Linked DNA regions of Sus scrofa. The protein of the gene in region 1 purifies or fractionates together with the protein of each later gene. This does not show direct contact. Links are inferred from orthologs where the notes say so. Each region holds a gene or a part of one and is shown on either strand. Other genes may lie near its edges.

Region 1 (5,052 bases):
CCCTGAACAACATGGGGTTAAACTGTGCATATCCACTTACATGCAGATTTTTTCAATAAACAGTCACCCCACCCCCACTCCCATCCATGGGTGCAGAACCAGAGATAGGGACAGCCAACTGTAAGGGACTGAGCATCCACCAAGGTCCTGGAAACAGTCCTGCAGATACTGAGGGACAAGACTATATGAAACAGCCTGATCGGGTAATCTTAACTATTTCAGGTTTTTTCGTTCCTTTCTGGCCACACCCATAGCATGTTAGTTCCCACACACCAGGGATGGAACCCACACCACAGCAGAGACCCAAGCCACCGCTGTGACACTGATGGATCCTCAATCCACTGCCCACAGATCTTCCTTAACTGTTTCAAGGTTTAAAAATGGTAGCCTATAGGCCAAATAAACTGAGCAATGTGTGGGTCTGTGTGTGTGTGTTTGCTGTATTAACTGCCCACATTTTAAAATAAATTTTCAATAAAAACTTGAATTTCCAGCTTCTCTTGAAAAATCGGGACACTCAGCAACAGTCAGCCCATATCTCCAAATTGCAAAAATAAACTCTGTTAACTAGCAGCTGTTTCTTTAGATGGAGCACATGTTTTCCAGTTTACCAAAGTCCCATCCTGGCTTGGTTTTCTTCAATATGTTAACTCTAAGGCATGTGCATTTCCAACCCCTGAGCTATTTTTATTTAGAGAGAACTGTTGCTGGAAAAGATCAGCTGCCCAAAATGCATTCTGAAATGTGGCCTGAATTTCTACTACTTTAAGCCAACAGAGAGTCACATCCGCCCATGAGTTCGTCAGTCCGAAGGACTGTGGCTTAGATGCTGGAAGGATGGCAGTGCTGTCTCTAAGATGGGAAGTGGGGTGGGAGGAGGTTTGGGCCGGATTAGGTGTGAGCTTTCTATCAGACACCCCAGAGAAAATGTTAAATATGCAGTTAGATAAATGAGCCTGGCGTTCAAGGGCTGGGCCTTGCCCAGTAACAACAATTCTAAGAGGCATCAACATAATAGACTTATAAGCCAGGGGATTTGACAAGTTCACCATGTGAAGAGGGTTAGGGTGAGCCTGCCAAAAGAAAAAGAGACCCTAGAATGCCAATTTTAGGAGAAAGGAGAAGAGGAATAAAGGAGGAGAGGCCAGTGAGGATGTGCTGTATTTGGATAATCTGATCCTATAAAGGCATAACTAAGCGGCCACTGCCTACATTTGTGGGGTTCTTTTAAGTCTGCGTTCAGATAAAGACCAAATACAGATCTGCCAAGGATGCTCCTAGGAGTCTATTGCTTACATACGACAAAACAAATGCAGCTATAGGCAGGAAAAGAAAGGCTGAGCTGTACAAACGCTATATAATCTTCTCAAATGAAAATATGGATAAATTATTATTCAAAGAAACTTCCAATAGAACTAAGCATTCCCAACAAAACAAAAGCTTTTAAAGCAAAATAAAAGCACAAACATATACTTACTTCCAAAGATTTAAGGAATGGCAGTGACTCAATAAAGCTTTCATACATTTTCCTCTTTTTGGCATTATTTTTTACAATTATTCTCCTGAAGGTTACCCTGTCCTAAAGGCAGAATGTCAAATACGAAGACAGTTAAAAGGTAGACTTTATGGGGAAAGAAGGTTTGAAGAGACAGTTTGAATTTATTCCCTACAAAGAACAAACAATAATTGAAGATTTTGAAATAAAAGATGAACATCATTATACTTCTAACGTAACTCATTTCAGATTACTTCTTTAAGCATACATGTAGAACCATATAAAACGTGACTTTCAGGTTTTTTAAAGAAAGCACCAACGTGTAACCGGCGGGCTACACCACAAGGTGGCGCTGTCGCACCACTTAATACGCTCCCCGTTCTTTCCTGCCCCACCCCCTCCCCTTTTGAGAGAAAAGTGATTTATGACGTATGCATTAAAGGTATAAACAATACGTTGATATGACATACCTATATACTGTGAAATGATTACCACCACAGATGGTTAATACCGCTATCACCTCACATAATTACCATTTCTTTTCTGTGGTAAGAACATTAAAGATTTATTCTTTGCAGCTTTCAAGTATATACTGTTGTTAACTATAATCATCACGTTTTACACCGGATCCTCAAAACTTACTCATAACTGCAAGTTTTTTCTCTTTAACCTACCTCTTCCCCACCACCCTCAGCCCCTGGCAACCCCATCATCCTACTTAGTTTCTGAGAATTGAAACCAGCAAGTGAGTTCTTTCGCTACAGATAACAGCCTTAGAGTGTTATGAAATCAATTCGGTGGGACATGACTGGCATTTTTTTTAGGTGTAACTGGCACACAACATTTTATTAGTTTCAAATGTACAACATAATGATTCAGTATCTGTATATATCGTGAAATGATCATATTAACTCTAATTAACATCCATCACCATACATATAGCTACCACATTTTTTTTCTTGTGATGAGAAATTTCAAATGTACAACACTGTTACTATTAACTGGTTACCGTGGTGTATACTCTGTCCTCAGCATGCATTTGTATCTAGAAATTTGTACCTTTTGACCCCCTTGACCCATGACCGGCATTTTCATCTTTAAAAAAGAAAAAACAAAAGAGAAAATCTGTGGGCATCCTTTTTAGTCAAGTGTTGAGTTATATATTTATTTCCATTATACACAAAGGCACACAAACATATACACTGGTGTGACATTTCCTAATGTGTTTCTTGTGGACTGCAGTAAAAAAAAAAACGATGGAAAACAGTATTAGGAAAAATTTTTAATCATGCACTTACAATGTAAAGAGATATAGAAAAATTATTGACTAGGCTTTTTATCACATCCATATACCAGAGTTTCTTTTTTAAAATATACAGAGAAACTACGACTTCTTTGAGGAGAGTTTGATGACAGTGTTTATCATGCTCATCATTCTAAAATGTTCCTATGTTTATACTACTTAACCTCAAGGATACAGAAGTGAAATAAGGAACCAGGGAAAACTTTAAAGCTAATGGCTCTAAAAATGGTTTTACTACAAATTTTATATTACAAAAATTCCTACCAAACATTTAGTTCTCAGAGTGCTCAGAATTACGTTAGTTTGGCATAAACTGATAAACAACAATACCGTTTAATATAAAGTAAAATTAATTGGAATATGTTCTTTAATAAATTACTGTGCCAACATATTAAGGCTGAATTTAAATGAACTGATAGGATGGGGGAAAAATGCAAGTGTGGATTAAGTCTCTAGGAAACTAAACATCTTGTTCTCCGATTTCGTTTATTATAATTTTATAAGGGTTATAGTTTAGACTTAGTCATTTTTTAAAAAGAGAAAAAAATTTAAGATAATTGTAAAATATTGAAATAATTTCCAAGTCTAGCTCTGCATCAGAATCAGCAGTGGTGTTTTAAAAAAAAAAGTTTCTAAGATCCCATACTTTATTTTTATTTATTTACTTTTTTTAGGACCATACCCAGGGCATATGGAAGTTCCCAAGCTAGGGGTTGAATTGGAGCCACAGCTGCCAAGCCTACACCACAGCCACAGCAACGAGGGATCGGTGTTTGCAACCTACTTTGCAGCTCATGGCAACACCAGATCCTTAACCCAGTGAGTGAGGCCAGGGATCGAACCTGAATCCTCATGGATCCCAGTAAGGTTCTTAAGACACAGAGCCACAACGGAAACTCCTAAGATCCCACACTTTAATGACTCAAAATCTTGGCACACAGGACTCTATATATAATAATCTGTATTCTGTAAAAACTCTCCAAGTGACTCTGCTATGTAATCTGTTCTGGGGACTGGCTGCACACCACTTTATGAAGAAGAGTTTACAGCAAAACAGAGAAGCCTAGAAAGAGGTTAGCAATTTAGAAATTAATCATAATGAGCAATGTGTGTCAGAAAAAAATTTCTATTAGTGGCTCACCTCTTCACACCCACTGTGACATAAAAATAAAATCCAGAAAGTCCCATTTCAAAGATTTTCATCCTATAGTCATTTCAGTCCTCACCTCTCTGAATCACCAGCACAGTCCTGCAGATCAGTTAATTCCCCAGGGCTAACAGTGACCTCGTCTTATTTACAAAGCTGGACTCTTCTACAAAGGACTTTTCTCTTGAGATTTGCTTATCTTTATACCTGCACTGATGCGGCAGAGCTCCAATCTGTTGGTCTTAAAACTTTCTCCGGAAGGGGGCTGGTTAGGTGAATTGCTAAGAAAGCAGGTTTGAAGTATTAACTGATTATGTTAATTATTATGATTTTTAAAAGCAGCTATTGCACTTATGCACACACCCCAAGGTGATCATCACAAACTGTCCACTTTCTTTTTTTAACGGCTGCACCTATGGCATATGAAGTTCTCAGGCCAGGGACTGACTCCAAACCACATCTGCAACCTATGCCACAGTTGTAGTAATGTCAGATCCTTTACGCCACTGTACTGGGGCTGGGGATTGAACTTGCACCTCCACAGTGACCCGAGCTGCTGCAGTTGAATTCTTAACTCACTGTGCCACTGTTTGTAAAGTTTAAAATATGTACAGATTAGTAAAAATCTCTGAAAATGACCTAAGTATCATGCACCCTGGGAAATGCTGGGCCTTTGTCAGTAGTTTAGGGTTCCCGCCAGGGCTGAAAACTATCAGGAATCAAAAGGCCAACCAGCTAAATATGTGACCTTGTTCAGAGGAACTGCAGAGAGGAGGCTTCCGTGTGACAATCTGATTCTGGATAGCAACCCCATCAGGATGATTAAATTTTCAGTGATACCTTCCTTAAGGAAACTCAAGACAGGGCAGGTAAGCACTTCCTAGGGGCCAAGTTCACTCAGGTTTGAGTTTTTAACTTTGCTGGCTTTGGGTACTGAGATCTTTCATCCTCCTTAAAACACTTCAGATGATGAGCCTGAAACAATTCCAATTCCAACTGGAAACAATTCCAATTCTTCTTCCAGCACTTAAAAAGTGACTCATCACATTTTTAATAAGTAAACAAGTAACTGCCTGGTTTTAATAAGAAGAAATGAGACAAAAAAAC
Region 2 (5,052 bases), on another chromosome or scaffold:
TAATTGGGCATAGACAGGAACCAGGAAAGAGAAAGAGAACCTGCCTCAATACTTAGACACTCAATAACTACCTTCTGAATAATTCAAATTTGGCTAACCTATAGAAGTGTTAGAATAAAATAAAAGAATTATTTCAGCTTTATTCTCATTATCTTTCATGATTTAAATCATCTATAACTATACTCTGGTTTCTCTCCAGATCATATAAATCTTTCACCTTTTTAAATCATCTATAACTTTGTCTTTTATAATCTAAATTTCATTGCTAATAACATATTTCTTCTTCAAGTGCATTTAACAAATAAGGTGTTTGTCATAAGCACCAAAACTTTAAAAAATGTGTTTATATGTATGAAGAAATATTCATTGTATGGAATCAGGAAAATACAGAAAAATAAAAATAATCAAGAAAGCTATAGTCTCACCACCCAGAGGTAGCCTTTTTAAAAACATCTTAATATATTTTCTTATGCATGTTATATCGAATGTACAATTTTGTATTCATCTTTTTTCACCTGAATGATAACAAGCCTGAAAATATAATTCTAATGGCTTATTTGAAAATGTACCATATTGTATTTTGCCACTCTTCTCTTGTCGTTGAATATTCAGGTTATTTTGTTTTTTTCTATTATAAATAACTATGAGAAACATCTTTGTGCATAAAGCCTTTTCTGTGTTTTAAATTATTTTTTAAGGTTAGATTCCTAGAAGTGGAATTACTAAGTCAGAGGGTATGAACATTTTTAAGGGTTTCAATACATATCGCCAAAGGGCTTTCCAAAAAGCTTGTAACATTTTACACTCCTCAGCAGTGTTTGAGAGTGCCTATATCAAACTTTCTGCAGCATTGGGTATTCTTTATTTTAAAAAGCATTACTAATTTGATAGGCAGTAAACAACATCTGATTATTTTAAGTCTCATGTCTTTTATTATTAGCTTTTTTAATGCTTTATAGCCATTTGGTATTTATGAATGTGTATGAATTATTAGTTCATGTCCTTAGCCCATTTATCTATTATAATTGTTTTTCTTATTGATTTGTTTTAATTTTTTATACCTAGGGTATTAAAAGCATCTAACATACTTATTATAAACAGTAGCACACAATCTGAAACATAAAACCAAAATTTAGTAAAAGGATCTGTTTGAACATTACATGTTTTCATTATAGCAAAAAATGTTGTAATTACATTACTAGGGAGTTGAGTTTAAAGAATTAAAGCACGGTTGATGCCCATTTCTATAAGCTAAACAAAGTGCTATTCCAATTATACTAGTCTCTTTTTAAAAACATACAGAAACAGGAAAGAAAAAAGAAATCTCCATATCACAGTATTATATTTTAGCCAGTAGTTTGAAAATTAAATAGCTTAAAAAGCTAAAATTTTGACAAAAGGTTGGAATATGGGGAGTGGTAAAGGTAATTAAAGAATATACCTGAGGGCAGATCAAAAGATCTGGCAAGAACTCAGCTCATTTCCTTCCATGATCAAACTGGGTTTTTTCCATAATCTTTTGTGCCAGTTGACATTGATTGTAGTTGATAACAAACTTTATATAAATATGTTAATACCTTATTCTTATTTATTTTCTTATAAATACTTCTAGATCTTAATGTTAGTAAGCTTAATATGAAAAAAACAAATCCAGTTAAGAATAGCCTTAGAATTATATACCCTTGATTTGCAGCATTCTCTTTGTACATATTATTTCCTTTATTTGATAAAGTCCTCACAGAACCCCCTGAATTAATCATCTTTCCTATATACTTTTTAGAGATGAGAAACAAAACAATAAAGTATACTTAAAGATTTACATGTGTTCGCTTCCACATTAAATGTTTAGCTTCCATAAGGTCCTATAAAGAGGATGGAATTCACTTCACAGGATGTTCACCCTCCTAATTACAAATATGTAGAGTATTTTGAAGTTAATTCCACTATTTATTATGAAGTACATCAACTCTTTCATTTCAGAACATTTGACCTTTCTAAGTATTTTCTAGAAAACCTGATTCATAAGATTATGGAACTAGAATGGGCTATAAGAGGTAATTTGGTCCAACTCCCTTCCTATTGTTGAACAACACTGCTATCCCAGTTAAAAGGGCATATTTTATTGTCTATAATATTCTTAATTATTTTTAGGAAAAAATTTAATAATATTTTCCTACTATCTAATCTCAGTATCTGGAAGTTCTCCCCTTTGTTTAATTCAAATCTGACCTGATACATTGTGTTTTTTATTTCATCCTGCATAACTACTCAGAACCTATTTTTAAAATTTCATGTGTTTGAAGATTATTTTGAAATAATTTATGATATTCATTCTCTTCTGAGTGAGTTAAGTAATAACAGACGTTTGTGTTGGTTTACTTTAGGGCTACAATAAGGCAGTGGATTGGTGGGCATTAGGAGTATTAATCTATGAGATGGCAGCTGGCTACCCCCCATTCTTTGCAGACCAACCCATTCAGATCTATGAAAAGATTGTTTCTGGAAAAGTAAGTAATACAATTTATTATTTCTTGATTATTCATTATTTCTATACATGAATTTTAAGCTTTGTACATTGAATCCATTTGATATCATCAGAATATTGTCCTAAATTGGGAATAATACAGAAATACCCATAGTTGCTGCCCTTTTTTCTAATACTTATGGAAGATAACAGCATAAATACCAAATCATTGAAGTCTCTTATGTAAAAAAGGGCAGTTTTACAAACATGTTAGCAAAATAATAAAGCAATTTCCATTTTTAGCATTTTTATCCTTATAAAACACAAAATCATAGCCCTAACTCTTCCATATTTCTTCAAACAAATAAAAATTGTTAGTTATTTCATGTGGAAATCTACGTAGAGAGGTTTTGGGGCTGTTTTTATATGTCCTGGCTTTTTTAGACTTATTGTTTAAATTATGTCAAACAGCATGAAATTGGAAGTAAATATAGAATAGATAAACCTTTTTAAGATGGGAATTCATAGAAATGATGTAAACAGTTGTTCATTTAATGTGATTATAATTGCAATCGATCTTTAGTAAATATGGGAATAACATTAATTTTCTTAAATTTGAGTAGATTTACTATGTCAGAGTACTTTACATTTTGTAATTACTCCACGAAGCTTCCTTCTTTTGCATTTATAATCTCTAATTTTGTTTCCAAGAATATTTTGTTTAAAATTAACCATTTAGAGTTCCATTGTGGCTCAGTGGTAACAACCCAACTAGTATCCTTAAGGACACAGGTTCAATCCCTGGCTAGGTTAAGAATCCAGCGTTGCTGTGAGCTGTGGTATAGGTCACAGACATGGCTCAGATCTGGCATTTCTATGTCTGTGGCATAGGCTGGCAGCTGCAACTCTGATTCCACTCCTAGCCTGGGAACTTCCATATGCTGTGGGTACAGCCCTAAAAAGCAAAAATAAATAAATAGCAAAAAAACTAAAAAATAAAAATTTTAAAAATAAAGTTGACCATTCACTCTTGCCTTAACTCATGCCTCAGATGCATTTTTAAAATGCTACAATTTTAATAGAGATGAGCCTGATTCTGCTTACCACATAGGAGAGAAACAGTAGACTTTCAAAAATGTGTGGAAGGCCTTCTATACATTTATGACAAAGTTCATGGGAAGGGATATTTTCCTTATTTTTTCTTTGTCCCATTCCTGCATGTTGTACCCTCTATTAGTTTGTCTTTTTTTGGGGGGAGGGATCACATAACATCAATATTGACATGACCTTACCCTAAAATGTGATGTAGTTGACATTTATGTATTTTGTAGCCTTCTAAGACATAAGCCTACTCAACCTAAAGAAAGGAGATAGGGGAAAAAAATCTATCTATTTGTATCTCAACCAGATTTATGCTCTGCATTTAGTATGAAAGCTAAGCCTTAGCATTTGAACTTGAAATTTATAGTTTCAGCTCTTCGCAAGGTAGCCTGAATATCCGTAATGTAGTAAATTATCTTTTTTACCAAGACCTAAATTTAAATTATGGATGCTGCATGGCTGGGCTATAGGAGCAAGATACCAATAGAATAAGTCTGTCCAGCTACCTAGAATCTACATCTCAGCATGTTATTTTTCCATATCTCATAGTGCTTATGCAGTCTACAGGGATCACTATTTTCAGTTATATTTTACTGCATTTTATGGTATTTACAACTAGGGGACTAAACTAAAGAACATATACTTCAACCATGTCAAAGGCAAAAAATAAATACCTCTTCCAGACACCTAAGCTAGGTTTTTAAAGATTTTTACTAAGATAATACAGAAAGACAGAATGAAGTATTTAGCAGTATTTAGGTAATTAAGTATTACTGCCCTTGCAGTTTTCTTATCTTTGTAATTGTTTTCACCCAGCAGAATATTAAGGTCACAGTTAAAGAACTTTTGAGATGAACAAAACAAAAAATCAAGAAAAATTAATAGAGAAGGAAGTGATTTATTTTTTAGGAATTCGAGAAGTGATTACGTAAAATCCTGAAAAAATAAGAACCAGAGGTCATATGAAGAATGATGAGAAAACTGAAATACTTTTAAATCACTTAATGGGAGAAGCACATTTTACTAATACAAAGACTAAAAATATATAAATTATAGTAATAGTTCTGAATAATTTAATTACAGGCAATTACAAAGTTCCTGAATCATTACTCTATTACTTTAATTTATACTTAACTTCATAGGAGGAATCAAATTTTCTGACAAGGATGCTATCATAATTAAATTTTATTTACTTTGAAAAATTGCTGTAGTTAAAATTAATATATCATCATTTGTATGAACCGGCCTCTGTTTGCCAGTCGTTTTATATTGTATAAAAGTTTTTTTAGCTGTTTATGAATAAGTTTTCATTTCATATCAAACTTTAACATTTAGGATCCATTTAGGATGCTTAAAATTTAAACCTACATCTATTCTAATATTATAACTGTTTAAATCCTAGCCACCTTAGAAGAGTAGCAACAAAATTTTATCATATCACAGTATCTGATATTTTTTAATTTATTTAGAAATCATTTTTAACTAAA

What was found. The genes of interacting proteins can lie anywhere in the genome.
Region 2: the proteins of PRKAR2B (region 1) and PRKACB purify together in Homo sapiens (affinity purification with mass spectrometry; 7 studies listed by BioGRID and IntAct, counting the BioPlex papers as one, with this or other methods). This does not show direct contact. The link is inferred for Sus scrofa from reciprocal best matches to the Homo sapiens genes PRKAR2B and PRKACB.

What each region holds. Positions count from the first base shown.
Region 1 is NC_010451.4:106,944,337-106,949,388, reverse strand, and holds part of PRKAR2B (cAMP-dependent protein kinase type II-beta regulatory subunit), read right to left. Parts: intron 1,580-5,052; coding exon 1,478-1,579; intron 1-1,477. UniProt on the Homo sapiens protein: Regulatory subunit of the cAMP-dependent protein kinases involved in cAMP signaling in cells. Type II regulatory chains mediate membrane association by binding to anchoring proteins, including the MAP2 kinase.
Region 2 is NC_010448.4:129,540,643-129,545,694, reverse strand, and holds part of PRKACB (cAMP-dependent protein kinase catalytic subunit beta), read left to right. Parts: intron 1-2,384; coding exon 2,385-2,507; intron 2,508-5,052. UniProt on the Homo sapiens protein: Mediates cAMP-dependent signaling triggered by receptor binding to GPCRs.